Danio rerio: one gene and its partners. The main gene of each other region encodes a partner of the protein of the gene in region 3 in a complex. Links are inferred from orthologs where the notes say so. Each region holds a gene or a part of one and is shown on either strand. Other genes may lie near its edges.

Region 1 (8,444 bases), on a different chromosome or scaffold from region 3:
TTCCAACTGGCCCAGCCAAGACTCAAACCAGCAACCTTCTTGCTGTGAGGTGACAATGCAAACCACCAAGCCACTGTGCCACCCAAAAATCAATTATCATTTACTTATTCTCGCATCCTTCCAAACTCATAAAACTGTTGTTTATTAAAAAAAAAATTACTTTGTCATTGTTTAAAGAGATTGTCTCTTCAGAAGACTTGTATTAAACAATTCAAATAAAAACAAACAAACAAACAAACAAACAAACAAACAAAAAAGCACACACATATTTCATTTAAGGGACAGAAATTTATCAGATTTCATTAAAAACTTGGTTTGTCCTCCAAAGATGATTAAAAGAACTAATGGTTTTAGAATGACACGATGACTAAAGTGTCTGTTTGGGGTGAACTGACCTTTTATAAAACATTTTGGGCCAAAACAAACAAAAAAACTATGCAACATTTTCTCTGTTTTGGAAATTGTCGTTGACATTTCTCTGCTATTTACAACTTTAGCCCAAAAACGTGGCAGCTGTTCATTTCTTCCTCAGTTTCTTTGAAAATGTCACTTCATCTCTGTTCCTGACCCCGTAGCTGAGGACAGAAGAAACACAATCATGCTTAACCACAAAAAAAGAAAAATACTTCCGCAATGCAAGATTTGGACTCACTCCTTCAGTTTTCTTCTGTCATCCTCTAATTTTTCCCCATTGAAAACTAGATGAAATGTCCTCCACACATATTTCCTGAAGAAAAAAGACAGACAAAAAATCGAAATAAAACAAACAAAAAATACAACATTTAACAAACAAAACGAATCTAAATAAATACAAATATAAATAAATACAAATATGATTAAATAAATACAACAAAAGTACAACAACAAAGGTCTGAAGTTATACTAACAGGAGCAAAAAAAATTTTTAGGCGTATTAAATGAGCCCATATTTTTTTAAAAATGTTTAAAAAAAAAATTAAGTATACGTACTAGCATGATATAGTCATGACTTAAATTCCTTAAAAATCTGAGTGAGGCAGATTACATTACTTCTGTAATATTCAAGCCCGCATGAGGTTTTCTCTAATTTACTTATTTTCACTGCCATGAAGAGTTCAGATGCAAAAACCTCTAAGTGCCATCTGAAATTTCCTTCTAATATTAGCATTTTTCTCAGGCTCCTATGTCTTGATTAAGTAATTTTAAATTTATGGCAAAGAATAGCTTATTTCCATCGATTATAACATGAAATCACTGAACATAAAGAGAAGAGACTGAGAAAAATGCTCATTGTAAAAGAAAATTCTAGATGGCACTTGGAGATTTTGCATCTGAACTCTTCATATTTTTCTCACGTCTCACCAGCTGACGTGCTTGACACCTCCTTCTCGCTGTTGCTTCAGCTCCATATATCTGCGAATGGCTTTCTTGAGATCCAGAACAGTTGCAGACTGCACAACCACAATAGCTGTGGAGAGATGGGCTCCAGTCAGAATCAATTAATAAATAACAACCATTTAAAAAAAAAACATGTCAAGAAACATATGCTGTTTCCCAGATCAAGATCTCATGGGTCACTGGGAATCTGGCAAAGACATATTAAATAAGAAAACTTACGCATGACTTCTCCATCCGCCTTACAAACCCGAACAGTCATAGCCTGGCCATATTCCAGAGCCACCTGAGAGTTTACCTCCTCCAGTGTGACCTGAAAAATTCAAAGGTTCAGAAATATAGGATTAATAATTAATGCATTCAAATAAACAGTTTATTTAGGACTGGTAAATTAAATGGTTGGTTCATGAAATCTGAGAGTTCCCTCATTCTCCCTAGACAGCAATGGTTTCCAATTTGTTCAAAGTCCTGAACAATACAAATTAATCATCATCAAAACAGATCATATGCCTACAGTGGCTCAATCAGAATATTATCAAGCTACGAGAATACATCTGTGTGCACATAAAACAAAAATAACTACTTTACTCAACAGTTTCTTCTCCTCAGTGTATTGCATGTGTTCACGAGTGGTGTGCACTTATGTACTGACTATGACTTCCTTAGTTTGAAACAATTCACAGACACATTTGAGGTAATAAGCAAGTCAGAGGTGCAACCAAACGCGGCACATAAATGTGAGCATTATACTGACACAGAGGAGAAGAAACTGTTGAAAAAAAATCTGTAGAATATAGAAGATTTTAAGCTGGAACTATTACCCTCTAGTATTTACAACTACATTATCAGCTATTCACAACCTGGACAAACAGCTCTGAGGAAGATTTTAAATATATTAAACTCAAAGTGATGGCGCTTCTTGACCACCATTATATAGATAACGTACATAGGAAAACATAGTTCTCAACTTAAAAAAAAAACGTATTTTCTGTTCTACTTAAGAACAGAATCTTGGGATGTCAATTAACCGAACATTTTAATATCTGGGTGAATTGTCCGTTTAAAACAGCCCCTTGACTGCATGTACACCTGAATGGGCAGGTCACACAGAAGCGGGTCCTGCACTATGAGAGCCAGCCCTTCTTCAAAGATGTCCAGAATTTCTGAGTGTGGAAGAGCCTCCTCGTCTTCTTCCTCTTCGTGCTCCTCTTTTATTTCATCTTCCACAGTTTTCTCCTCTAACTCTTTTTTGAGCTCGGTTTCGTCCTTTATTTCGTCCATTTTATCTTCAAACGTCTTGTTTTGAGGGTATAGAAATCCAAGACTTATAAAAAAGTCACTAAGCGTTAATAGTTAACATAACTACAATTTCGTAAAAAAACTGTACGCCTTTTGCAGAAGCTTATTGTATTAAAAATTGTAACTTTAACAATTTGAGCCGTTCCAGCATTTCTTTTTACATTTCATTTTTATAAACACGCTGTCGGAATATTTCAGTGATGCACCCGACTTTAGTTCCGCATAGGTTTTTTATGATTCACATTCTTTATTACAATAACAATCTTCTATTAAAATATTTTTTAATCAGCATTAATATATTCGTTGACATTTTCATATATATTTAAGTTTAATATATACAACAGAAACAGTGTTCATCCTTGTCTATATTTCGTTTTATGGCGAGCCAATAATACAGAGGCACATTGATTGTCATGTGCTTCCTGTAGCGACTTAGAAAGGACTGTGTGTAAATACCAACTTCAGTTGCATCAGAAAGAAACTATAACTGTATTTACTACGTAACATAATCTATGACTGTTTGAAAATGCTCCTGTTTTGTCCGACATGTGGGAATGTGTTAATCGTGGAAGAAGGACAGCGATGCTTTAGATTCGCGTGTAACACATGTCCATATGTGCACAACATCACGAGGAAGGTAATGCATAACACCGGTTATGGAAATTTGTATCTAATAAGCGTTTGGAACGTTTGATTCGAACGCATTAAAGTTCGACGGAACGCCGACATTTAAAAGTTCGATTCGAATGAAACGAAAGAAATGACTTGATTCGATAATATGAGAACGTGTGAGGAACATCTGATGAGATCAATGTTTCTAACATTACAAATTATATAACAAAAATAGATTTGAGTGAGGGAGTGTTTATGTTCTATCAAACATTGCTTTCAGAGCATGATAAATAACGCTGGGTTACTGAGTAGTTACTTAAATGAAATGGTTAAATGATTATAAGATTGTATTGTACTTTAAAATGCTCTTTATTTCATCACGTTATTATATTTATGTATAAAATTTACAGTTTTAGAATAAATTCTCATTAAAAGATATTTTGAATAATGCTGGCACCCATTTTCTACCATAGTAGGAAATAAGAGTTGATTGAAGTCAATGGATCCCAGCAACATTCTTCAAAATATCTTCTTTTGTTTAACAGAAGATATAAACTTACTCAATGTACTTAATAAACCAAGAACTTCGTTTATATTATCTTGAAAACGTAGGAATTAAAAATATTTTAGAAATTTTTTAGAAATATTGTTATAGCTTCAGGTGGATAAACATCTGGATACTTAAAAGTTTATATTTGATGTCACTTCATAGATACTTATGTATGTGTGTCTTATCATCAAATGTTCATTCATAAATTGCACATACTTCTGAATTAAATCAGCCACAGTGCCACACGCAGGTTAACATTTTACCACCACTCTTTACTTCTCTTGTGTCTATGAACTCCGTAACATTACAAAACTTCCCATCATGCCACCTGTTTCCCGTCTTAAAGACACAGATGCAATTATAGCACATGACAATACTAACTTCAGAATCATAACACAAAACCTGGATAAATAAATCACCTCTATAAACTACTGACATTGTTTTTAAAAGATAGCTCTTAAAAACTCATTTTTGCATCCCCCAAAATGCTGTTGTGCAAACAAATGGCCAAAACACATACAAGTTTTCAATGCTTAGTTGGTCTGTAAATGTAATTGGCTGTTAAGTGAAAAAGTCAATTTCAAACTCTGATTAGAATTCAAAATGACGCTGTTTTAGACACTGGTAACAACTGTATTTATACAGTGACATATTAAAGAAGAGCCACTTGTCATAGTATTTTTGCTATTTATGTCATTGATAGTTTTTTTCAACATTCCGCATATATATTCTTTAAAGTCTGTGTGAAATCCAAATTTACAGTGTTTATTTTACAAGCACACAATGCTATTCTTTAGGTAAATGATAAATCCATGCAAGCTAATTCACCGAAAAAAAAAATCTTTGTTCTGATAATCTTCAAAGTCTGACCATTTGCTCTGGCGTTTGGAGTGGCAGTCCTTCTCTGATGATGTCAGTTTGGCAGATGCATCCACAATATTCCTAACCACGCCCCTCTTACCTTTAGTTGATGAGGGAATGATGTGCAAAAAGAAAGCCCCGCCCCCTACTCAATATGCAGTTTCAGTTTGAGGTCCTTCAACATACTAAAATAAGTCTCAGCAACTTGCAGTAAAATTAAAAACACTTATAAATCACCTTGAACCATCCTTGTTTTTATTAGTATCTAACAATTGAAGCTTGTTTCTATGAGGGTTAGGTTTATGGTCAGGCATAGACAGTATCATTGACCTGATAAAAAAATAGGAAAACAAACCTGTTTATGTGCTTTAACAGGTAAACAACAGAAAGTACCCCAAACTGAAGGAGGTTGATGATGTTCTTGGAGGATCTGCTGCTTGGGAAAATGTGGATTCCACTGCAGGTAAACAAATGAAACTTGAAAAGTAAAGTTTGCTCACAAACTTATGGTGGATTGACTGAGACTAGTCTGAAAGTTTGAAGTAGTTTTAAAGTTTAATTAATTGAAATAGTTTTTAAGAATTTTGAAACAGTCGGCATAGATTGATAACTACATATAGGTCAGCATGTATCTAGTATGGATTGGTATGTTTTAGTATAGATTGGTATATGGTTAGTATGTTTCTAGTGTGGATTAGATTATTATAGTATGTTTCTAGTCTGGATTGGTATATTATTAGTATGTTTGTTAGTATGTTTCTAGTATGGATTTGTGTGTCCTTAGTATGTTTCTAGTGTGGTTTATGTCTCTAGTATAGATTGGTATATTGTTAGTATGTTTTAGTGTGGGTTAGTATATTTTTAGTATGTTTTAGTATGGATTGGTGTGTCCGTTAGTATGTTTCTAGTATAGATTGGTATATTGTTTGTATGTTTCTAGTATGGATTAGTATATTTTTATTATGTTTTATGGTATGAATTGGTGTGGCCTTGGTTTGTTTTTTAATGTGGTTTATTATGTTTCTAGTATGGATTGGTATATTTGGAGTATGTTATGTTTTTCTTCCATGGATTGGTATATTATTACTATGTTTCAAATGTGGATTAATATATTTTTAGTATGTTTGTTAGTATGTATCTAGTATGGATTGGTGTGTCCTTTAGTGTGTTTCTAGTGTGGTTTATGTTTCTTGTATTAATTGGTATATTGTTAGTATGTTTTTAGTATGGATTGGTATATTTGGAGTATGTTTGTTATGTTTCTTCCATGGATTGGTATATTGTTAGTATGTTTCTAGTGTGGATTAGTATATTTTTAGTATGTTATTAGTATGGATTGGTGTGTCTTTACTATGTTTCTAGTGTGGCTTGGTATGTTTTTAGTATAGATTTGTGTGTTGTTAGTATGTTTCTAGTGTGGCTTGGTATGTTTTTAGTATAGATTTGTGTGTTGTTAGTATGTTTCTAGTGTGGCTTGGTATGTTAATAGTATAGATTTGTATGTTGGCAGTATGTTTCTAGTGTGGATTATATTCAATGTAAAGTCAATGGCAGTGTTTTTTTTTTTTTTTTTTTTTTTTTTATAATGGAAGTCTATGGGACAGTTGCTACTTGCTAGGGTGCTGTAAGTGGTTGCTAGAGTGCTGCTAGTAAGTTGAAAGGTCATCAGTGATTGGCAAAATTGGTAGTCTGGGTTAAATGAGCCCAACCTTAAATCTGTATGACACTCTGGCGCAAAGATATAAGATTACAAAGTTTGGTCCAATGTTAAGTCAATGGGACTTTTCCGAATTCTCTGGGTCAGTTTTTGGAAAACCGTGAATCGCATTAGTTGGAAAAGATATAGCAACTCAAGTCAGACCAGTTTGGAGTTAATTTGGTGTTTGTAGCTTGAACGGATTAGGAGGAGATACATAAAGAAATTAGTCTCAGAAGAAGAAGGAAAAGTATAACAGTATGTTGTCTTTCTCAAGCCACCATAATAAAAATGTATCTACATGTAATAAAAGACAGTTTTCCTGGTTTAATTTGATGCTTAACATTCTTCTCTATTTTTTTCTTCGTTTCTTGAAGAACCCTGTCCAAAATGTGAGCACCCAAGGGCTTATTTCATGCAGATTCAAACCAGGTCTGCCGATGAACCAATGACAACCTTCTACAAATGCTGCAATATACAGTGTGGCCATCGATGGAGAGACTAAATCTAGACTTTGTTTGGGAAATATTAGAATAATGTATTGAATTGTTGGAACCCCATCATCATTTGTGTAAATTAAAACCCTCAGATGCTCTTTAAACGTTATTTCCCTCATCTAGAAGCTTTGTAAAATTAGGTTGTGTGCAATAACCAGATCATTCACTTGCCTTTTTTGGTGTTTATGTGTGAAAGTAATAAAACAGATGCTCATATTTGATCCAGTTTGTGTTTTTATTTGTTCAAATGAGTCCATACGTTTTGTTAAACATACACATTTGAGACTTGGGTTGAGCACAGCATCTGCTGTAGAGCCACAGACTATTCTCAAGGCATTTATCTACAGCTGCATTCCCATAAGACAAGCTTGACATCTACTCTGTCGGAAAACAGCGTCAAGTCACTTCACAAAGCAAGTAGACTTACAAGTCGAGAGCGTATTTGATTAAAGGGAGCCAGCCTGGGTTGTGCAAGTAAACCTCATGAACATGCATACATATTTACTGGAGATTATCGTTCAGTAGTCAGACAGACGGCATGTGGTTACAGTGGATGTATGGATGAGGTCTTTTTTCACTTTATATTGGTGGAGGTTTTGAAATTTGATTTAATGTGAGTTTTGAAGGGATAGTTCAACCAAAATTGAAAATTCTGATTTTTATGAATTTCTATTGAAGACAAAACAAGATATTTTGAAGAATGTTGGGGAATAAGCAGCCATTGATATCCATAGTAGGAACAACAATACTATGGAGGTCAATGGTTGATTATTTTTTCTTTAAATCTTCCTTTGTTTTTAATGGAAAAAAAGAAACTTAAATTGGTTTATCCAATAAACGAAGATAAGATTTTCATTTATGGTTGAACTACCACGACAGTTAGGTTTTGTAATGCCTGAAAATGCATATAGGGTGCAAGTGAATTTAGTAGGAAATATTTAAGGTGTTTGTTAGATTAAGATGAATCCATTTAAAAGTCGTATAATCAGACAGCAGGGTTATATGCATTTTCACAGTTTGCTACATCTTTTTCCCTCTTCATAATAAATACTACGATAAAAATATGTAACGTCTTTCACTTAAAGAGCTATAATATTAGCAGATTGTCTACTGGAGACAGATGATTAACATCAGAGATCTTAATAGAAATTATAGATGAAATAAATATTAATAATCTATAATAATGATTTAGATTTCAGATTGTTGGGATATATTTCATAAATATTCACCACCTGCGTGATGATTTATCCGAACAACGGTGCACTGAAGAACTCCATATCACAAGAAAACCTACATTTTGTCATGTTAGTGTCTGATGACTTTGTACAATCACATTCACAGGAAAATGTAGAACAGTCTGGGTCATGATCATGTAAAACATTTACAAATCTAAAAAGGTAATTGCGACTTCTTTTCTCTCAATATTGACTTTTCTTGCAATTTCAAGTTTATATTTCGCAATAATGACTCCTTTTTAAATTATTCTCAGAACTGAGATACAAACATGCACCGCAAACATTGAAAGTTTCCATCCAAATCAAATACCATTCTGGGT
Region 2 (8,458 bases), on a different chromosome or scaffold from region 3:
TGTTTTATGGATTACATTTCACAATACAATTCTATTTGTTAAATCTAGTTAACATGAAAAATACTTAAGCTTAAAGTGATCATTACCACAAATCCACTTTTGATGAAAAAAATGAATTAATAAATACTATTTATTGGACCAAGCTAACATATTAACAATGAACAGTTGTGTATGTTTATTAATTGCCATTAATGAAGACTGATCAACATTGTATCAAATAAATAGCTTATTGTTAGTCAGTGGTTTAACTAGTAGACATTAGTGTAAAGAATTGCCATTCCAGGTCGATCCTGAATAATCCACATAAGTCCTCATTTTTTAAACAAATGTTTTACAAAATGATAATATTTAAACATTTAAATCATACTTCATTTCTTACTATGTATACAAAGTGTTATATTACATTTCAAATAAATGGTTAGACCAACACTAAAGAAAGATGATACATATTTTTTTTTTAATCAACATTACAAAGCCAAGTAATAAGATACTAAGCAAAATGTTTGACAGTTTTTTTTATATATAAAATATTAAGTCTGCATGTCTATTTTAATGAATGAATTTAAAATCTCAAAACATAAATTCACAAAGTACATGTTAACATTATATAAACATCTGTTTGTTTTCCAAAAAACGAACCACAGAATTATGGGGTCAGAAAAGTGTTAAAATATACTTATTATATATTAAAAATATCTGATATAGCGATATTTAATTTTTCTGCAATAAATATTGGGATATGAATAGTTTCACAAGATATTTCGAATAGCACAATTTGAGGGTTTCCTGTGGAGTCTAAAAGTATTCAGGTGCAGAAATTGAAAAATCACGATGCAAAAAAATGCTGTTCTGACTTTGTCTCCTTTCTAGTCCAAATATCAAAAAATCCTTAACGCAAGTAAAACTATTGTCTTGTTTTTACCTTCAGAATAAATAAGTCACAATGAAGAGTTTTTTCCTTTAAAACAAGCACAACTATCTGCCAGTGGGGTAAGCAAATTTTTTTGTTTTTGTAATAATGTTACTTTGAAATGCAGATTTTTGGACTAAAATTTAAGACACATGCACACATCGATGCTAAAACAGTTTATTGTTCAGCCTAGGGAAAATGAACATGCGTTATGGATGTGAATAAAAAAGTTTGTGTGTTTACAGTATACAACATACTTTGTAGAAATTCTGTGAATTAAACTACACAACCCAAATGAAATAATGCTTATCAAAAGGATAAGAGCTGCCTCACTATAAAACAAGCATGATTGATTTCATTTTATTTGACATTTTTCCCACTTATGAGGAAAAAGCTTTATTATGGATGTGACATCTCTTTGTTCTGGTGTTACAGGTCTGAAAATAGTACTTGTCTGACTTTGGTAAATCAAATTTAAACGTTTGAAAACGCCCTCAATTGCTTCTACTGTTTCTAAACATTTATAAGTTTATTTGTTCGGCTGAACACAAAATTAGATATCCTGAAGAGTATTTCGGAACAAGTGCAGAGTGAGTAAACGATGACATAATTTTAACTGAACTATCAACTTTAAAGGCCTAATGATAATCGATAAAGTGAGGTAAAAAGAGGAGACTTCCACAATGTGCAGTGCTATAGACTTTCTCCTTAATAATTTAATTTCAGAGAAGTCTTCTATGCTAATTCTAATAAGGGAAATCATATTAGCAGCAAATGACTATCAAAGTACAGCATTGTTCACAGTCAATTAGATAGTGTTAATGTTGTTTAGAAGTCATAGTGGCATGTTAATTCCAATTGAATATTCAAAGTAACATGGTAAACTCTATAGCAGGGATGTCAAACTAAATTCCTGAAGGGCCGCAGTCCTGCACAGTTTAGTTCCAACCCTACTTACCTGTAGGTTTCAAACAAGCCTGAAGGACTCAATTAGTTTGATCAGGTGTGTTTAATTAGGGTTGGAACTACACTGTGCAGGGCTGCGGCCCTCCAGGAATTGAGTTTGACATCCCTGCTCTATAGAGAATGCTAAATGAATGAACGTGCGAATATAAAGCCAACTTTACCCCTATGTGCTACAGCATCACAAGCACTGTGAACCACAGATCTAAATAACATCTCTGACAAAACAAAAACTAAGCTTAAATGAAATGCAATGCGATATAATCAAATCAAAGCCCCACTGTCAGCACAAACTACGAATGATCTATGACATTGACTGGATTTATTTAACACAACATAACATTATCAAGGAGTTGCTTTCAACCCATGCTCGCGTCTTTTATTTATCAGGCCGTTTGGTGGTGCTACCAATCAGTTTATTTACATACTCCAGAAAGCACCGAAAGAGCAGGAGTTACAACATGCCAATGGAAACAATCGAATAAGGAAGTGCAGCTCACCTGGAGTCTTCTGTAACCTCCTCGATGAAGCCAGAGTCACATCTGGGACAGATATACTCCTGCAAGCAAGCAAAACAAAAAAAATCACAATCACAATATAACACAGAAAAGCCGGACAGTGTAAATAAACATACAGATAGCTGCGGCATTATGAGGACATGCATTTGCATAGTACTACACATGTTTGTTCATTTGAATTTTAAAACAAATAGTCTTGTATGAGTCCAGACACTCCCTATGAAGTGTGTCACAACAATTGCTGGCTGATTCAAGAGGCTTCTTCCCTATTTTTTTTTTTCTTCTTTTTTGGATTAAACAGGTCAAGACAGGCCATCCTGTCGGTCTCCAGCAAAAGAAGCACAGTTGCTGCTTATATCGGCATGTGGACTATTATTCTGCTTTATTCATACCTTATACAGTATGAACCAGTTTTGAATCATGTCAAGGGGTTTAACTTACTAAACAAAATGGGTAGCAAACATGTGTTTAACAATACACACTACTCATCCTCACCGGGACAATCTAATGACCTACTGACACACTGACCACCAAGTGCTAAATGTTGACGTTCATTGCAGAATTTGTGATATAATTTACGGCAAATGCGACATTATAAACAAGTAAAACAGAAACAGAAACATTAGCACTCCGGTTTCACTTCTGAGAAGAGTTCAGTGTCGATGTGATTTAAGGACATTTCTGAAAGTTTCTAAAAGCTGACATTAATAACTGAACACTTATCAAAACTGAACATGTCGTGAAATGTGAAAAAGTCATCATTTACAGTACAAAAACACAAGAAATGAGTGTAGCATTGGTGCTAAACACAAAACCTGTTGGTTTCCGCTTATGTTACGTTAACAAGCACCTGTCTAACATCTAATAAAACCGGTCATCGGTAAATACATGTGTTTTTTAGTGTTTATACACAAACAACAAACCACGACAGGCCTTTCGCCCACATCAGGCTGATACACTGCTAACATGCTAACTTTAGCACAACAGCGGAACCTGCGAGAGCGACAGCAGAACTACAGAAAGACATTAACTTGAGCCGGCTGCGCGCTACCAGCGACACGGACTCACCGGTAGTTTGGGACTCACTTCACCCTTACAACAGTGACAGAAGAAGCGATGCGGAGGGACCGCAGCAGCCTCCGCCATGTTTTCTGTGAGACTGCCTGTGTCCCAAACAGCAACAGCAGCAGCAGCGCTGGCCGAGCGTCGGTCCGCCCACTGCAGAGGGAGGTGCTTTGGCAATGAGCACTCAGTAGTGCGAGTCATTGAGGCGAGTCGACTCACTCAGGGGAGTCGTTTGACTGAGCTGATCAAAACAACATACTGAGTCAAAATTATTTACATAAGGCTGTGTGAAGTGTGCGTTTTACTAGTATTACAGGGATCAGAGAGGGCTTTATTCGAGAACAATGTAAAATTAAAACAAAAAAAGACCATTACATATTATTATATATGCTATTATGTCAGTCTAATATTATATGTTAGCATGTAATTCACCTAATTGAACTTTACTCTGATAATTGTAGTTCACTCCAAAAAAATATTCTTCTACCTACAAACCTGTTTGACTTCTGACAAACAAAACAAAAACTACTTAAATAGTATTTTTTCCTGAAACTGATATTTCCTAACATTTTTTTTTTCAAAATACCCTTTTGTTTATTCAAATAAAAAAAAGTAATTTCATAAAAAACACCCGAGTGTGAGTAAACAGTGATTCATTTTTCATTATTCATTCGGTTCTTTTGATCCGCAAAAAGATTCCGTTCATGATAGCGATTCACTCAAGCTTCACACACCAGAGCTCCGCCTCCACGTGATCAAACCACGGAAATTCGTCAGTGCTTGTCGTTGCACACCGTCTGGACAACACACGTGAGATCAAAAAGTGTGAACTCATCTAAATAACACATACGGATATCTAGATAACTTACTTTTTAGAGGTAAGTTTGTCTTTAAGCATGTGCATCTGTGCTTTGTTTAGCCTTTGTGAGATGTTTGCTTTGTGGAAAGGCCAGACAACAACTAATTCTGCGCTAATCCAGTGTTAGTAGCCAGTCAAAACGCAAATATGAATGTTTACTTTTGCACTTTGTTGACAAAATGTTTTGTTTTTAAACTGATGCTTTTAGTTATAGCTTGTGTAGCTTGTGTTTCTAGTAACTCCATGTATAGTTACAAGACTTTACATGTATTTTTGATGGTTACAGGTAAACGTTACAGATTAAGGAGGAAAACTGTAATATTAAAATTGTGAGCAGTTTTATTAATAAGGAAATGTGGGTAGACCATAAATAACACGAAATCATGTATGTAAACATTAATAACTGATAACATATTAGTCAACATATTCATCAAAGTTGATTCACTAAATGTTGACAACTGTATGCACACATTGAAAAATGATTACATTAAGTGACTGAACAAGAACATCAAGTGCATGAACAATATTTGATTTGCCTTTTTAGTTGCTGACCTATAGAAAACTACATATGAGGCATATACAAAGGTGCTCTGTACAAATTAGATTTAATGATTTCCAAATATATGAGACATTCTACCAGAAACATACATTTTTATTTATAAAATAAATGACAGGGCCTGACCTTTAAGCTTGTCTTCCTCAAAAAAATAAATAAATAAATAAATAATTAAAATAAAAAATAAAACAGTTTAATGATAGAATGTATCCTTGATGTCTGCTTCCCCATCAAATGATGCCACTTCCAAGTCATAGCCTTAAAGGTGTATAGCACACATTTTATGTTAAATTTAAGGCAAATGTGACAGGACTGACAGAAACATGGGGACAATTGTAAAAGTATTTGTAATATATATTTGTAGTAATTATTTGTAGACTTTATAATTTCATGTTTTTAATCAGTTTACGTGTATGATAGCAACTTAAACTTGCTATTTCTGAAGTTTTTCTTTTTTCTAAATAACAGTTTTTAGCATCACAAAATTATTAAACCTGAACGTTCAATTTGGCTGAGGACAATGACAAGGTTTGTACATTTGTAAAGTGTTTTTAATAAAGAACAAAAATCTGAGATCCTTACAAAAATCTTACTTTGCCTGGTTCAGCATATTGTGTGCTGTTCTGTCTTGTTATCCATTCTCAGCATCTCTGGTCTCTGTTAAAATCCCAGGCTTTGTAATATTTTCCCACAAGTGACATTTTGGAAATTGATTGCAATGCGTTTTGTGTGCAAGTCTGAAACAAGAATAGGCTGGAAAAAAACTAATTGTGCAATTAGAGCAAAAAAACCAACCAACACTAGTTTGCAAGTTGACATGTCTAAAAAGAATTATACATTATTCATAGATAAATTGACTACAGATTGTGATTTGATTGTTGCTCTCTGTCCTACAGATGACAGCACAGGAGGTGCGTCTGTGTGGGCTGTTGCTGCAGGAGCACTTTGGTGATGTGGTGGAAAATGTGGGCACTCATCTCATCCGCAATGGAGTTCTGACCTTGAGAGCTCTTGCCCATGAGACCAAACTGGCTCTTGACCTGGTAATGTCACTATTTAAAGCTTTCTTTGATAGCTTAAAAAATAAGATTCTCTTGGATGTGTGGTTTGTTAGGATAGGATATCCATTGTTTCCAAAATCCAAACAGAATAAAACTATTAAAAAAAAAAATTGGAATCTGAAATGTTTATATTTTTTAAGAGCCCATATTATACATGAAATAGGGCTGTAAGGGTCTCCAACAACAGTCTAATATGCATGCAAGGTCAAAAAACACTTTCATGGTCTTATAATTTGCATTTATTTTTACATAATTATCCCAGCGACTACCATATGAATCGTCCAGTGATTCATTTGTTCCCAAACCCCTCCTTAGCTTGAAACTAATCTGCGCTGATTGGACCGATGACAGTCTGTTGCGATTGGTCGACACTGACTACCTTCAGCGAGAGACAGTGAAATGCCCAGCAGCTAATCAACAATATAGAAGTAGTCACAGTGCATACACACTTCATATTGTAAGGTGTGGATTTTAGCTGCCAGTGGGTGAATGTAAATACAGGCGATGGACTTGAAAATACCAACGACTAACTATTTTATTGAGCAAAAACTCCAAGAATTGGCGAGGAGATCTCCTAGCTTGTCACACTCTGCTCTTTTCACACACACACACACACACACACACACACACACACACACACACACACACACACACACACACACACACACACACATAATCCTCCTCCGGACGACAACGCGCACACACACACACACATTACCCTCCTCCACAGAGGTCCGCAAACAAAGCGGCACGCGTCACATTTTTTAACGTGGCTTTGCACACGATACGAGAATATAGCGAGTTAACCTGATACAGTACAAGCGGTTATAAGTAACAAATCATAACTAAATACATTTGCAAGCTAGAGTAAACGAGGCAACAACTTTAATCGCACGTACTTACACTTAAGAAATGGAGGAAGAAACCGATCCATGTCCTGGCATGTCCATCAGCAGTCTTTACTGATCCTTTCTTTAACAAACGACCGATGAAGTATTCTTTGTAGCATGTAGTTTCCAGTAGTTTCCAACTGCTCAATGCCGGGCTAATGCTGAGGTTTCATCTTTGGGTAGAGACTCAATAATTTCCGTCTGCAGTCTGACTTCAATCGACTGCCATGTTTGTGTGTGTGTGTGTGGCTTTTGCTGTGTTAGAGGGCGGGGCCGCAGGTTTCAAATCTCACAAGTTTGTGCGTGCAACTACTTGGTTTCGTTATTACGTCATGGCGATACACCTAATGCCTCTTTATCAAGACGACTCGTTTGAAGCACTGTGAGTCGACTCTTTTATAGATGAATCAACAGTTTTAAACACTGTACACTTACAGTTTTAAGCCTTAGCTGGATATTTCACTTCACTTAGAGCTGTGTTACACGCTACATGGAAGGACATTTTCAAAAATCCATAATATGGGATCTTAAAAACAAATTTAAATATTGGAAAAATGACCTTTTAAAGCAGTCTAGGCCACGTTCACACTGCAGCCAAATGTGGACCAGTTCAGATTTAATTTGCCCACATGTGACTCGAGTAATGACAGTGTAAACAGCCCAAACTGCATGGAATCAGATTTTTTTCAGGTTAGATTTGTACCACTCTCATATGTAGTCTTAAATCAGACACAGATCTGGGGCCTCATGTATCAACGCTGCGTACGCACAAAAACTTTGCGTACGCCAGGTTTCACGCTCAGAATCGCTCACGTTTGGATTTACTAACGATGAACTGAACGTGGGAATGTGCGCAGCACCACGCTAGCATTATGGCTGGCGTACGCACATTTTTTGTGCGTGTCTGTTTTATTTCCATTGGCGACTCCTAGAGGCAGTTGTGTTAAATTCCTCTCTACAAAGTGTCTGAGCCTTGCAATGGCAGCTGTATGAGACAGGTTCATCTAGCAGGTATATGGTTTCCATACCATACAGTTGACCAGCTAAACATCAAAGCACAATTTGCAGCGGTCGCCTGTTTTCCCAATGTAATCTGAGCTATCTACTGCACACACATTGCTATAAAGACACTATCTGAAGATGAATTCGCATGCGTGAATCAGAAACATTTCCATTCAATAAATGTGCAAATAAAATATGATTCACAAACTTATTAATGATTCCCACTTGTCTTTCTCGTGATAATCTGATATGTAGCGGGGGAAAAAAGAAGAAAGAGTTCATCAGACGCTGGATTCGAACCGAGTTCATGCTCGAACGTGTCAAAACATGTTAACCTGCGTTTTACGAACTGCGCCACTGAGACTGTTGTAGGTACTGCAACATTTTACACCTATAAATCACACTATTTCTTTTTTATTTCACTCGGTGCGATGTTCAGACCCAATTGTGTTAGCCGCATTAGCTAAACTCTCCCACTATATTTTTTTCTTTTGTTGTCAATTCCGGAGAACAAACTTGCAAATAACACCGCTTTTTTCCGGTCTACCTCCGAAAGCAGCACCTCCAATTCACATTCTGTAAAAGGTTTCTCTTTTGGCTTGCTAGCCATTGCTTTTTCGTTGGGTTTTGCCAA
Region 3 (8,303 bases):
TATAAATATGCCTCATATGCAACTTATATTTAAAAATATTGCTAAAATTGTCATATTGACACACACACACACATACATACACACACACACACACATAAATATATATATATATATATATATTTTTTTTTTCTTTTCCCCCCACCATTACAATTACAAATATGTACACACACACACACACACACACACACACACACACACACACACACACACACATATATATATAACACATAAAAGTAAAAGACAAAAGTGGGCATTTCTGCAATATTTCAAAATATGTTTTAGAAATGTAAAATCTAAGTATGAGCTTGATTTTCAAAAGCTTGCATGTTTGCCATTTATTATATTTCTATGTGGGCTGACATGCTATAGGGGTCATTTCAAAACACAGTATTAATAATAGTATTTAGGTCTAGGAATCGTTATATGATTGTTTTGGGTATGTCCGCCATTCCTAATCACATTTCTGCAGCAAGGAGGTCGATCAAATACACTGTTAAATCCTGTGAGGAGATGCTGAATGACCTCAGTAGGAAGGATTGCTGTGGTGACTGAACTTATGTGTGTAAGACGATGAGATCCCTTTCTGAACTCACTCAGAGCTATGAAACAACACGGAAAGCATGACCCGACGTGGATAAATCATTACAGCAGAGAGCATCAAAGTGTTTTACCATCCCTAAAGAGCCAGTAATGGGAACTCTATATCAGTTTTTATAAAGACATGCTTGATAAATGCAATAGTTGTAATAAATATTTATAATAATTTTAATAATTTAATAATTTATAATAATAGCTATAATAAATGGTAAAAGATGAGTTGGAAAAGTGCTTCTTAATTTAAAGGCAATATGATTTTATTTTAAATCAGTTCTAGACTTAGTTTTTATATTGTCAAAGCTACATATCATGAAAATAATAAGCCAGAAATTACATTTCAATTAGATCCTCTGATTTTATAATGCAACTGGACACATTGCCATTGTAAAATTACTTCAGCAAATTGAGGAAACTCAACAATCAAGCAATCAAGACCAATGTCAAAATCTGAGATGCTTTAACACTGTCCCCTATTGGTTGAGATTTTTACCTACATCAGGAATGGGACAAAATAGGGGGTTTTCACTAAACCGACTTTAAATAATATCACAATACATAATAATTTAAAAATAAATTATATAAAAAAAAAACATATCTTAAAATATATTTTAACCATCACTACAATGTTTAAGAGAAACTGAACTGACTTAAACATAATATCACAGTATTTGAATATCTTAGAAATATATAATTAACTGTTATACCATTACAATATTAAATTATGTGTTTGAAAATGTATCCAGGAACTTGAAACCTAAAAATAAAGATCACTTTTTTTGGGGGGGAGAAATTAAGATATAGCTAGATTATATGCAAACTTTATTCAAAACAAACAGATCTCAGAGGGAGTCTGAATACTTGTTTTCTTGCTTTATTTCCCCCCTAACTCTTTTATATACTTTAAAAAAGTTATGAAAGTTGTTCAAACTTTTCTAGAAGAGAAATTAAAACTTTTTTTAAAAAGTTGTATGGAAAAATGATTATCAGTAGGAGACGAACAAAGGAGAAGCTGAACATCAGCTTTGAAGATGCTTTAATAATAGGATATTAGTTTGTTCAAACTGTTTTGTGCACGATTATTAAACACAATTGTACATTTTAAAGAACTAATCTTTGAGCTTTACTTTTAAACACTCCTAAAATGGCTAGTGAAGTCGTGGAAACAACGGTTTTTACCTAATAACATGATCTCCAGTTTTTTTCGGTCCACTCGGAACCTCTCCTCGGTCCACTCGGGGTCCGGAGGCGCCGTGGGTCCGCTGGAGTCATCCTCAGACACGGGCAGCGGGGAGTCGGTGCTGCGCTCGCTGTTGGAGCCCGGGTCAGACTGCTGTAAGTATCCGCTTAATGGTTCGCACTGAGCGGCCATGACTTTCACAGAGCACCGCTGACTCTCCGCAGCCTCAAATCAGATCATTCCCGCGGAGAGTGAGCGCCAGTCATCGCGGGCTCTGTGTGAGTTACTCTGACCGACCGGAGGAGTATAAAGTGAGGCAGGCAAAAGTTGAGCGCCGCCCTTTGTTCAATATGAGCCAGAAGGGTGGATGGAAGGGGTCTGTGTCCCAAAACTTATTAAAGTGCCCACTTGACACCGTTCAGCTCCTGTTACGCCATAAATATGATGTTGATAAGTCTGACTCTTAAGTAACATTTCGAGAGTTTTTTTGGGGCAATACCAGTGTATAAATTAAATTAAAAAATTTGTTTATTATTTTATAATTAATTGTGTATTATTTAAATTATTAAATAGAAATATATTTTACAAATATTGAATATATTTTACAAAAAACAAAACTATATAAATTATTTCAGAAACATTAGTTGCAAATTGCACAAATATAAACTTTAAATGTATTTACATTATTTTAATGAACAATATTTATTCATTATTGTGAAAAACTAGATATTATATTATATTATTATATCTTTTTCTAACAGGAATGATAAGCTCTCTGCTAGCAAAATATATAATATAATATAATATAATATAATATAATATAATATAATATAATATAATATAATATAATATAATATAATATAAATAGGAATAAAAAAGTGAGGGCAGCCAAAAGTTGAGTGCCGCCCTTTGTTCAATATGAGTTAGAAGAAGGGTGGATGGAAGGGGTCTGTGTCCCAAAACTTACTGAAGTGGTTACTTTTACAACAGTTTTTTATAAAATATGTTTTTATTTTTCACCTTTTCATTTTAGTTTTATTTTATACTTGTTAATGCATAATATTCAAAATAAATGTATTGTACAAATATTGAGTATATTTTACACAAAACACGAAATTTCATAGACAGTAGTTTTAAAATTCAGTCCGATAATAAACCATTTTATGACACAAAAGAGACCATATAAAAGGAATGAAATAAACTTTAAATAAATATGTTTAAAATGTTTGTGCATTAAATTAAAACTATAAATAAATATGTTTAAAATGTTTGTGCATTAAATTAAAATTTACCATTTACAATTTTAAAGAGTATTTATGAAATACAGTCCAGAGTTATTATAGTATATCATTATATAGGCCTAATACAATATGATATTTATAAAAATAGCTATAAATATATATGTAAATAGATTTGAAACAAAATGTTTATTTATTGTTCAGATAAAATAACCGTTAAAAACAAAATATTTAAAATTAGTTCATTATTATTTAATATACAGCACTTATAATTTTTTTTAAGTTAAAAGTTTATTAATATTTTATTAATTGAGAGTTTATTAACAAAACCATCATGATGACACCATAAGACTAAATGGACAAATAAAAACTTTAAATATATTTTATTTATTTTTATTAAAAAATTTGTTATTGTGATAAATATAATATAAAATGATATAATAATATAAAATAAAATATAATATAGATGATATATAAAATAATAATATGTAAATATTAAAAAATGATATATAATATAATATAATATAATATAATATAATATAATATAATATAATATAATATAATATAAAATGTCTGAGTAATCTTTTCCTAACAGAGGGCTCGTGTCACGTGACCAATGATGCTCCTGCAAGGATGTAGCTGTCAGCTGGAAGAGTTCGGCAGATATGATGTGAGCAGTTTACACAAATTTCAAGTACGTATAGTATTTATTTTCACTTATCTCTAATGCAGCCGTGCGCAGCATTTTTAAATATGTCCGTCTAAATGTCATAAAGTGCTATGAAAGGCTTTGTTTTGATAGCATAGGTTGCTAACAAAATGGAGGCGCGCGCGTCTTGAAATCCAAGTCAGCGCACATTTAGTGTATTTTGAACGAGCGTTTCTCTTGGAAAATTAAGGTTTTCACCTTTGTTTGAGTCTGAGTAATCACATATTGCACGCTGCTCAGTAGGGTTTGTTGTTTGTGTGTTTGGCAGGATGTGTGATCATGGAGATGGGGACGCGGAGGCGAGCTCATCTTCCACTTTCAGACCGTCTTTTGCTCTGGGCAACGTTAAAGGACTGCCAGGGAGAATTTCACACAATCCTCCTCCACCAGGCAGACTGACCTCCCTGCGGTCCAGAGACCTGACCCTGGGAGGATTTAAAAAGGTTACTCATTCTAATACCTTTTTAATGCTGTTTTTAATCTTTAACAAAGACAAAAGATTGGTTTAAAGGGATAGTTCACGCAAAAAAATAAAAATTCTGTCATCATTTACTTACTCTTTCCTTGTTTCAAACCTTTAACGTTATTCGTTTCTGTCTTGTGTTGAATTTATTGAATTACTTGTTTGTGTTTTGGATGTTTATTGTTTTGTCCATGTTTGGGCTCTTGCCCTCAGCTGCAGTCATCACAAGACAAATTTCCCTAACTGGGACAATAAAGTTTTACCTTACCTTACCTTAAACACAAAATAAATAATTATGAAAAATGCTGGAAACCTGTAACTATTATTGAGATTTTAAATTTGGTTTTGTATTCGCTCGTTCATTCAGAACTTGTGATATGATCATTAGGCATGGGCCGATACAAGATTCTGACGGGATGATAACCTTGGATAAAAAATATCACGGTTTCACAGTATTGTGATTACTTCTCTAAAATATATTCTTTTTAAATCTCTGGGTAAAAAACAAACTTTTTTTCCACTTTAAATACAAAAAATTTACTTTGAGAAACATTTTAAATATTTTCCAACAGTAAACATGTCAGGCTACAGTAAATAATTAAAACAAGTCTTTGACTTCTGCTGTCTTCATTAGTTTCAAAAACTCAAATTTCTTTACAATTTAAAGTAGCACCTTTAGATATGTTTTTGTTGTCGGAGATTTGTCCTAAAAAAAAACAAAACAAAAAAAAATAAAAAAAAAACGAGATAAAATAAATAATAATTAAAATATAAATAAAAAAAACAAACAAATACATACCTTAGGAAACGGTATAGCAAAAGATTTCGGCAGTTTTAAAACCTTGATTTTTCCAAACCGCAGTACACCTCGAAAACGGTTATTGTCCCATGCCTAATGCTCACTATATCGTTTACGGTAACTTGGTTAAGTTAGTTTTATATTCACACATTCATGCTTTCTCCTTAATAATATAACTAGAGAAAAGTATTGTTTGCAAATTCTAAATAATGAATTAATATTAGCAGCCAACAACTGTCAAAGGGAAACATTAACAACTAAAGTCAGTTAAATAGTGCCAATGTTGTTTTGAAGACATCCTTACATGCTATTTCAGACTGAATAGTCAAAGTAGCTTGTTGAACAATACAGGGAGCGTGTCACAAGTTGTCGCTGTTAAAAACTGAACAATCGTGCGAATACAAAATCAACTTTACCTTAGTATTGTTTACCATAGTACTTTATCAGGAATATTAGGACTGAAATCACATGTAACTTCAAAACAACATTAGCACTATTTATTTGGCTGTGGACAATGTTGTATAATTGTGATACAACATTAATAAAACAATAATACTTGTTTGAAATTATATTATTAAGGAGAAAGTCAGAATGTGCGAAAATAAAACTAACTTTACCACATTGTAACCAGTGATTTTCTTAGTATTTGTTTTTCCTACTATGGTGGTCAATGGTTACAGGTTTTCAACATATTCAAAATATCAAATTTTGTTTAATTGAAGAAAGAAATGTATAATGGTTTGTGGGTGAGTTCATTATTACATTTAAAATATTCAGTGAACTATTCCTTTAACTTATGTTACTTGCATTGTGCTTTTTTACAATAAAAACATGGTTTCAAACCTGCTTTGGAGAAAATTATGAAGAAAATGTAAATGTGCAGCGCATTTTTTTAAAACCATAACCATTAGGATATATTTGTATAATACAATTTAACATGATCACATAACATGATAACATGATCTATCTATCTATCTATCTATCTAATAAATGCAGGTTAAATTTACATGAATGCACCTGTTACTTTAAATTACACTAGAATAATATTATTTTACCCATATTCTTGACATTTTACTTTCTCTAAAGTCTGAGACATCAAATTATAGACACTTCATTACATTGAATATTCTTTTTAATATTAAATTAAATTAAATTTTTTGTAAATTGTTTTTAATGCAGACATCAAATTAGGTCATCATGTCAATGCCTCATACTATGTTTATACTTGTCAGTTTATTAGAATTTTAGTCTAATTACTATCTGGTCATGTGTAATAAATATGAGTGTTACTTTAATAATGAACCAAGCAATTATTAATTGACTCGCTGTGTTTTTATTTCCCTTGCAGAAAACCTTTGTTCCAAATGTTCACTCCGTTCGCAAAAGTAAAGATGAGTAAGTATTTTTAAAGATCTCATTCTATTGCTTTGTTTGGTATTTGTAGTACTCGTGCTCAATATAATTCTTCTTCATTTTGATAGGGCTTTTTATAATGGAGATTTTGTCAAAGCAGCAAACTGTGTTCTGGGGTTGGGAGTTAGAATATGCCTTGTAAATATGGCTAAATTGCATAACTATAAATATTTAAATACATTAATAATGCTATACACACACGGATGGATATATATATACACTCACTGGCCACTTTATTAGGTACACCTTACTAGGACTGGATTGGACTCCCTTTTGCCTTCAGAACTGCCTTAATCCTTCGTGGCATAGATTCTGGAAATATTCCTCAGAGATTTTGGTCCATATTGACATGATGGCATCATGCAGTTGGTGCATATTTGTTGGCTGCACATCCATGATGTGAATCTCCCGTTCCCCCACATCCCAAAGGTGCTCTATTGGATTGAGATCTGGTGACTGTGGAGGTCATTCGAGTACAGTGAACTCATTGTCATGTTCAAGAAACCAGCCTGAGATGATTTGCACTTAATGACAAGGCAAGTTATTCTGCTGAAAGTAGCCATCAGAAGATGGGTACACTGTGGTCATAAAGGGATGGACATGGTCAGCAACAATACTCAAGTAGGCTGTGGCGTTGACACAATGCTCAATTGATACTAATGAGCTCATAGTGTGCCAAGAAAATATCCCCCACACCATTACACCAGCATCACCAGCCTGAACCTTTGTTACTAGGTAGGACGCTTGTAACAAGAGGCTTTCATGTTGTTGATGCCAAATACTGACCCGACCATCCGAATGTTGCAGCTGAAATTGAGACTCATCGGACCAGACAACATTTTCCAATCATCTTTTGTCCAAATTTTTTAGCTGACAGGAGTGGCACCATGTCTACATGCCTAAATGCATTGAGTTGCTGCCATGCGATTGGCTGATCAGAAATTTGCGCTTCCGAGCAGTTGGAAAGGTGTACCTAATAAAGGGAAATGTATGTTATATACAGTGCTCAACATAAATATATACACTTCGTTTTGAAAATGAATATTTTTATCAATTTCTCAGTGAATATAGGTCATGTGTTTTGATGCATTTAAACAAAACAGATTTATTAAACAGATATATTTATTAAAATAATATTTTAGTTGCCGAACAGCATTAGAAATAGAAAGATAATACATTAAAAATAATGCTAAATATTGGAAAGGAAATTACAAACGACAAAATAAAAAAATAATAATCTATTATTTTTTTTCTTTTTCTTTTTTTGCTCTTTTTATTTATTTTTTAAATACATTTTTTCTCTAACATATAAATTTGGGTGTACTATTTTTGGACCGTTATCATAAGTTATTTGGTTAGATTAGCTCCATATTAAGCTTCATTACTGACTAATTTAATGTATATGCACAAATATAATATTTTAAAACTTCCTATAGCAAATAATAATTTAAATGAGAGATTTGAGAGGGGTGTACTTGTTTATGTTGAGCACTGAATATACATAGAAATCTAGATAAATTCACTGATATATTATTATTATTATTATTATTATTATTTATATTATTTATTATTTTTATTGTTTGCCTGAATTAGATCCAGTCAGATCAGAAAAATATCTTATTGCCAGTTTATTTTAGTAAGATCATTACAAAAAAATAAATAATCTTAAAAGATGGAAAATAAATAAAACCATGTCTCTAGGGAAATGTTATTTTGCAAGAAATATCATTATCGCAATACTTAACATCCTCCCATATATTCCATATTATTGTCAGTTAACACTTGTTTTTAATTTTAGCAGGACCACCTAAATGCATTTTAATAGCAGGTATTACTCATTTGTTTGTGGTGTAAATCACTCTGAATTGAAACTGTTTTGTGGAGGTTACAGGAGGAGCCTCACAGTG
Region 4 (6,794 bases), on a different chromosome or scaffold from region 3:
AGGTCCGTCAGATCGCACTAATATGTTTTTCTCTTATTTTTCATTGTTTTATAACACATTTATAACTTGTTTTAACACATTTGGTCTGTTTTCATCTGTTTTTAATCATTTTTATTATCAGTCTTTATTATCTTTTATTCCTGTTTATGTAAAGCACTTTGAATTGCCACTGTGTATGAAATGTGCTATATAAATAAACTTGCCTTGCCTAAGTTAAGTTCATAGAGATGTCATACAAATAACATCCAGTTTTTGTTGGCTGTTCAGAAATCCATCTTTGTCCCTTCAGACTCTCACACTCCATAAGACTCAGTAAGTGTTTTTTTTTTTATTTGTTTATTCATCAATACTATTAATATATATATATATATATATATATTTTTATAAATGTACCACAGGCTTTGAGCAGTAATTAATAAATCCTGTTTTTCTTCAAATTTACATCTTCAGTTTCTTAGTTGGTTAATATAATTGTCAGACTAGTTTGTAGAGACTATTTTTACTATGCCATTTGCATGACCATTTTTTGTCCTGTACTTTTCTAAAGAAAAAGTATCTTTTGCTCATCAACACTGCTTTCATCAAATCAAAAATACCATAACTGTGTTCTGTTCTGAAATTTGATTTGTGTAACAGATCAGATGAAACAGATTTGTGTAAGTTGACCATCAGTTAAGACAACGTTAGCACCTGTTAGCTTTAACTGAGGGGAAAACTGGATAATTTGAAGCTTTTGTCAGCTAATTTTATCTTCTGGGTTTAAAATCATTTTTGGGGCGGGATCAAAATCAGCGACGTAGCGTGAATCTGCTAGTGGAGTGATGACACGTCGGTTTCTTATTTTTATTCGTAGCTGAGTTTTCTTATCCTATGGGAAAATATAAAACTATAAATCATGCGCCTCCTCATGGTGTGCATCTCATTTTGTGAGCCAACTGACAGCTGTTCGCTCGCCTCTTTCTTCCCTTCTATGCCGGCCACACCATCCCTCCCTCTGCTCGCAGCGCTCCACGCCCATCACAAAGCATTTTATGAAAAAATTCGGTGGTAGACATGAACCGAAAGAGGGGGGTTTCATGGCCCTTTAACACATCTTGATAATCACTTGTGCTGTTGATTTGTTTGTTAAAATATAATAGATATAAAATGCATGCAAACATTTGAAATAGAAACATTCAGTTCAATTATAAACATCAGTCATGGTCACTTTCCTATTAAATGGATTAAAAAGCCTTAATTCACACTATTTTAAAGGGTTCTGATGTAGTTTTGAAGGTTTTCCACAGTAGGTTTCAGGGCTGCATCATGATATCAGAAAAATATTTATATATAAGATATTGCAATGTTTTATTTTTCTATGATACATATTGTGATTTGAGTACAGTTTCACAAGATGATATTTAAGTACAAAAAAATGAATAATCTTTTTTTTTTTTCTTCCTTTGCTTTGTTTCGTTTCTAGTCCAAATATCTAAAAAATCTTAGATCAAGTGAAAAATGTATTTGTTTTCACCTTTAGAAAAATTAGGTGAAAATTATTAGTTTTTCCTCAAAACAAGTGAAATTATCTGAAAATGGGGAAGGTAAAATAATCATGTTTTCGGAAAACTTAGGAAAAACTTCTCTTTTTTTTTGCATAAATTGTATAAATATTAAATAAAATAAATCTTTGTTACACCTCAAAACTTCATAATTCGTTGTGCACAAACTCTCTTAATTCATTTTCTTTTTCGGCTTAGTCGCCACAGCGGAATGAACTGCCAACTTATCCAGCATATGTTTTACACAGCAAATGCCCTTCCATCTGCTACCCATCTCTGGGAAACAACCATACACAATCATTCACACCCATACACTACGGACAATTTAGCCAACCCAATTCACCTGTACCGCATCTCTTTGGACTGTGGGGGAAACTGGAGCACAAAGAGGAAACTCACGCGAACACGGGGAGAACATGCAAACAAAATAGACATCTAAGAATAGTTCAAAACTAGACTAGTCGTCAAATAGACAGACTATATATGTGTAGTCATTCATTTCTGTCTATTTGACGACTAGTTTAGTTTTGAGCTATTTTTAGACTTCTATAAGATTTTCACTGACAGCCCAAATTTAGCCTTGTTTTAGCCAAGACGACAATGTTTAGACATCTATTAGACATCTTTTAGAATGAAAAAATGCTTGCTGGGAAGGGCTTGAGCTGGCTTATTGAAAATTCCCTGTGCAATTCAGCGCCAATTGCTTAGTGGTTAAGTATACCAACATATGGCACAATAGTGCTCACAGCGACCTGAGTTCGACTCCTAGCTAGGGGTCCTATGCTGATCCTTCCCTCTGTCTGAACCCAATCGTTTCCTGTCTGTCCTTTACTATCCTATCTCAATAAAAGGTAAAAACCAACCAAAATAATTATTTAAAAAAGTCCCTGTGCATTGCTGATGCTTACTTTGGCATTTCTGAATTATTTCTTTAAGGTGACCATAGTTAACCATAGACTTAGTTTAATGTGTTTAAAAAATTGCAGATCTATTACATTCACAAACAGCTACTTTAAACAATATGTTAAAGGTAATTTTTGAAGAAGAAAAAAACATTTATGGGACACTATCATTTCTCAACTCTTTAATTGCCTGCTCGACAAAATGGCCACATATTATTGACTGTTTAAGTAAAGAATGTTTTTTTTTTTTTTTACAAAAAAAAAATATCAAACAAACAATCCTGTTGCACTACTTCACTTCATTTAGGTTTTATTGTAAAAAAAACAAAAAAAACATGTTAAATGAGAATCTGAAATATTTCATGGCATACCTTAAAAATGAAGATGATTTAGTTTTCAAAAATGTACACTTCATAGTTTTAGCTTTTTCATAGTATATGCATTAATTGCAGTACTTTTACCATAAACCGACACGTCATGGCATGTGTTGAAAAAAAAATTCGCATTGAGTATGTTAACTAGCGACATTAGGAGTTAGGTAATGCAATACACATTTTTGTTTCTTGGTGGGGCAGTTAAAGGGTTTAACATTTTGAACATACTTAGCATTGTCAAAAATGGGCAAAGATGTTAAAGACAAAGTGTATGAAAAAAAGATGTGAAGACTCATACCAGCTGGATCTCAACAGCAGTCTGAGGTCTGTGGTTTAAGAGCTGCAGCTTCTCTGCTCTTTGAACAGAAATAGAAAAGAAGTTAACAGGCTGCTTTTTTCACAAGCTAAAATAAAAAATCTGATAAACTAACACTAGACTCATTGTCAAGTGCAAAACCAGCAACTCACACGTGTACTGGTTTCAGAAACATCACAACACAAACCTTCACAATGGTGCATCTCAAACCCAGAATTACAAAGTCACTGCAATGCACTGTATTTACTGTGGCTTTCACACAGTTTGAGGCTTTAAGGTTTTTCCTTTCAAAGAGGTGATTCAGTGCACAAGTTTTAAATGCATGCTTACAAAATAAGAGAAAAAATAAAAAGTACTTAGTAAGTTTGTGAGGCAGCATGGCGGTGAGGAACTCCTTCACTGTCTCTGGTTTCTGATGAACACATGGCGTCTTAGAGAGGTACTTCAGGGTCTGTTGAGGCAGAGATTTCAGACGTTAAAGGGCATGACTGAGCAACACAATCTCAAATCTTTGCCTTGTTTTGGAGATAAGGCTGTGCAATATGACAATTTGTACAGGGGTTGGACAATGAAACTAAAACATTGGCCAATTTAGTGTTGGAGGTTTCATGGCAGGTGATTATGCATTCCACCAGTAAGAGCAGAGTGTGAAGGTGTAATTAGGAGAGTAAAAGCACGGTTTTGCTTAAAAAGTTTTAAATGCACACAACATTATGGGTGACATTTTGGAGTTCAAAAGAGGACAAATTGGTGTGCGTCTCGCTGGCGTATCTCTGACCAAGACAGCAAGTTGTGATGTATCAAGAGCCACGGTCTCCTGAGTAATGTTAGCATACCACCAAAAAGGATGAATCACATCCAACAGTAGTAACTGTGGATGCAAGAGCTGTCTGAAAGGGATGTCAGGGTGCTAACCTGGATTGTATCCAAAAATACATAGAACCACAGCTGCCCAACTCGCTGCAGAATTAAACGTGCACCTCAACTATCCTCTTTCTACAAAACTGTTTGTCGGGAGCTCCACAGGGTCAATATACATGACCGAGCTGATATAGCCCAACCTTTGGTCACTCACGCAAATGCCAAACATCGGTTTCAATGGTGCCAGCAGCAAAAATCTTGGTTTGTGGACAATGTGAAAGATGTATTGTTCCTTGATGAGTCCACATTCCCTGTCTATTCCACATGGAAAGAGTTACGGTGTGGAGAAGCCCCAAATAAGCGTACCACCAAGAGTGAAGCGTGAGGGTGGATCAGTGACGGTTTGGGCTGCAATATCATGGCATTCTCTAGGCCCAATACTTATGCTAAGTGGGAATGTCGCTGCCTAGGACTACCAAAATATTCTGGAGGACCATGTGCACTCCTGAAGCCAGTGTCGTGTATCAGGATGATTATGCAACAAGACTCACAGCAAGACTGGTGACAGAGTGGTTTGATGAACATGAAAGTAACGTTGAACATCTCTCATGGCCTGCACATTCACCAGATCTAAATATTATTGAGCCACTCTGGAGTGTTTTGGGGGAGCAAGGTAGAAAACATTTTCCCCACCAGCATTACAAAGTAACCTGGCCACTATTCTGCAAGAAGAATGGCTTAAATCCCTTTGGCCACTGTGCAGGACTTGTATCTGTCATTTCCAAGACCAATTGATGCTGTATTGGCTGGGCTGCAAAAGGAGGCCCTAGACCAGGGATGTCAAACTCAATTCCTGGTGGGCCGCAGCCCTGTACAGTTTAGTTCCAACCCTAATTAAACACACCTGATCAAACTAATTAAGTCCTTCAGGCTTGTTTAAAACCTACAGGTAAGTGTGTTGGAGCAGGGTTGGAACTAAACTGTGCAGGGCTGCGGCCCTCCAGGAATTGAGTTTGACATCCCTGCCCTACACCATACTAATGAATTATAAATTAATCTAAAACCAGGAGTTTCAATTTCATTGTCCAACCCCTGTGTGTGTGTGTACACATATACACACACACACACACACACACACACACACACATATACACACATATACACACATATACACACACATATATATATATATATATAGTTTATTTTGTGGAGTTAACAGTAATACTTGTATATGCGTGTTGACCAGATCATCCCTGCATCATAAGAAAGTTGCAATCTTGAAAGTACAATGTTTACATTATTTAGCAATGTTGGACCTGTAATCATTGGTTTTTGAAAAGTGTTTTATATACTTTATTAATATGTGCTTTATATTTATACCTTCTCAATCAAATATTTGCCCTGAAATTCTAAATAAAGGGAGGAATATGATCACATACGAGTATATCTCTGAGTATGTACTTTAAATTGTAAAAAAAAATAAATCTAGATAAAGTCTTTTACATGTGGTCAATACAAACTATTAATGAATTGAATTTTAGAAATGTTACTATATAGTAAGATATATATCGTTATCAATATATGAGATGACATATCATTATACATGATTTGTCATATCACCTAGTCCAATTTGGAGGTGTTTGTTTATTTATTAATTTATTATTTATTGCCACATCAGCAACTTATGGCTATTTCGTGGCAAAATGGATATTCATAAAATATTACATGAAAAAACGAATTCGTATTACAATAAAAAAAGTTACTTACACGAATATAAAAAATATAAATACAAAAAAATTCACACAAAAAAAATATTCAAAGTCAAATATGATTTTTCAGTTAATTTTTTAATTAATAATTTAAAACTCTTCCTGATGGTACCTTTTTAAAAGTGTCCACTGAAGTACCCTCTTTAAAATAATTTTGTCTAATGGAATTTAAACTTCTACATTCCAACAAAACATGTTTTATGGTAAGAGCAGCCTGGCAGTAATTACATTTACGTAGTGCTTCTTTTTTCAGTAAATATAAATGTGTCAACTTAAAATCCAATCCTCCAATTCCACATCTGGTGTAGGCCATCTGATCATGCCTAGTCTGAAAATTATAATTTGCTAAACGTCTTTCATTTATTTTCGGGTTAATTTCATGCAATTTATTATTTATGCAGTTGTCCCATTCTCTTTGCCATGTTTCGTTTATGAACAAATGGACTGTGGGTTTCAAGTCCTCAGGAGGAATTAAACATTCTGTCACATTCAAGGAGATAGCCTGTTTTGCTGCATCTGGAGATGTTTGTTAGATCACATCAAAAAACAAGCACCTCATACATGATGGTGTTGAGATTCTGCTGCCCGGTGCTGTGCTTATTTTTAACCATCTCCTTTCTTTTTTCTTTCAGGTCTGTCAGCAGCTGATAGACCTGGTGGAGTAGAGAACACTTCTATAGCCACAAACAATAAAAAGTACACTTTTTGTTTTTTTATTCGAAAGTTTTAAAATTCATACTGACCTCATAATTGCTCAGCATAGCAGCATTGGCATCCCTCCTACAAAAGAATACTATTAATATTATTATTAGTTTACTTTAAATCATGTACAGTAACCGGAAATTAATAAATGAGTACAATGTGCAGAAGGTACAGTAAAAAATATTTCAACATTTACCGTTTTTAATATAAAAGATTAACAACGTTTATTTTTGTTCAGTTTCTAAAATTACTAATGTATTGTCATCTCTTAAAAATTTGATTCTTAAATTTTGATTTAACACTGTTAGATCACTGTTTAGAGTTTGTAT

Evidence for each region.
Region 1: zgc:171971 (region 3) and polr3k share a complex: the UniProt entries of both Homo sapiens proteins name them as parts of the RNA polymerase III complex. The link is inferred for Danio rerio from reciprocal best matches to the Homo sapiens genes POLR3D and POLR3K.
Region 2: zgc:171971 (region 3) and polr3c share a complex: the UniProt entries of both Homo sapiens proteins name them as parts of the RNA polymerase III complex. The link is inferred for Danio rerio from reciprocal best matches to the Homo sapiens genes POLR3D and POLR3C.
Region 4: zgc:171971 (region 3) and crcp share a complex: the UniProt entries of both Homo sapiens proteins name them as parts of the RNA polymerase III complex. The link is inferred for Danio rerio from reciprocal best matches to the Homo sapiens genes POLR3D and CRCP.

What each region holds. Positions count from the first base shown.
Region 1 is NC_133178.1:45,545,218-45,553,661, forward strand, and holds polr3k (DNA-directed RNA polymerase III subunit RPC10), read left to right. Parts: upstream 1-3,074; 5' UTR 3,075-3,199; coding exon 3,200-3,310; intron 3,311-5,071; coding exon 5,072-5,159; intron 5,160-6,769; coding exon 6,770-6,897; 3' UTR 6,898-7,110; downstream 7,111-8,444. Other genes in the region: snrnp25 (U11/U12 small nuclear ribonucleoprotein 25 kDa protein), read right to left, coding at 518-575, 653-727, 1,342-1,447, 1,597-1,687, 2,464-2,655. UniProt on the Homo sapiens protein: Core component of RNA polymerase III (Pol III) which synthesizes small non-coding RNAs using the four ribonucleoside triphosphates as substrates. Can mediate Pol I proofreading of the nascent RNA transcript.
Region 2 is NC_133191.1:14,588,644-14,597,101, forward strand, and holds the start of polr3c (DNA-directed RNA polymerase III subunit RPC3), read left to right. Parts: upstream 1-4,241; 5' UTR 4,242-4,334; intron 4,335-5,767; coding exon 5,768-5,914; intron 5,915-8,458. Other genes in the region: rnf115a (E3 ubiquitin-protein ligase RNF115), read right to left, coding at 2,374-2,432, 3,460-3,657. UniProt on the Homo sapiens protein: DNA-dependent RNA polymerase catalyzes the transcription of DNA into RNA using the four ribonucleoside triphosphates as substrates.
Region 3 is NC_133187.1:7,833,795-7,842,097, reverse strand, and holds the start of zgc:171971 (uncharacterized protein), read left to right. Parts: upstream 1-3,623; 5' UTR 3,624-3,677; coding exon of another isoform or gene 3,678-3,682; 5' UTR 3,683-3,706; intron 3,707-3,989; coding exon of another isoform or gene 3,990-3,990; coding exon 3,991-4,164; intron 4,165-6,331; coding exon 6,332-6,378; intron 6,379-8,280; coding exon 8,281-8,303. Other genes in the region: zgc:110716 (uncharacterized protein LOC550248), read right to left, coding at 1,774-1,966. UniProt on the Homo sapiens protein: DNA-dependent RNA polymerase catalyzes the transcription of DNA into RNA using the four ribonucleoside triphosphates as substrates.
Region 4 is NC_133196.1:33,902,429-33,909,222, forward strand, and holds part of crcp (DNA-directed RNA polymerase III subunit RPC9), read right to left. Parts: intron 6,557-6,794; 5' UTR 6,544-6,556; coding exon of another isoform or gene 6,525-6,543; coding exon 6,507-6,524; intron 6,417-6,506; coding exon 6,318-6,416; intron 3,585-6,317; coding exon 3,490-3,584; intron 3,174-3,489; coding exon 3,116-3,173; intron 1-3,115. UniProt on the Homo sapiens protein: DNA-dependent RNA polymerase catalyzes the transcription of DNA into RNA using the four ribonucleoside triphosphates as substrates.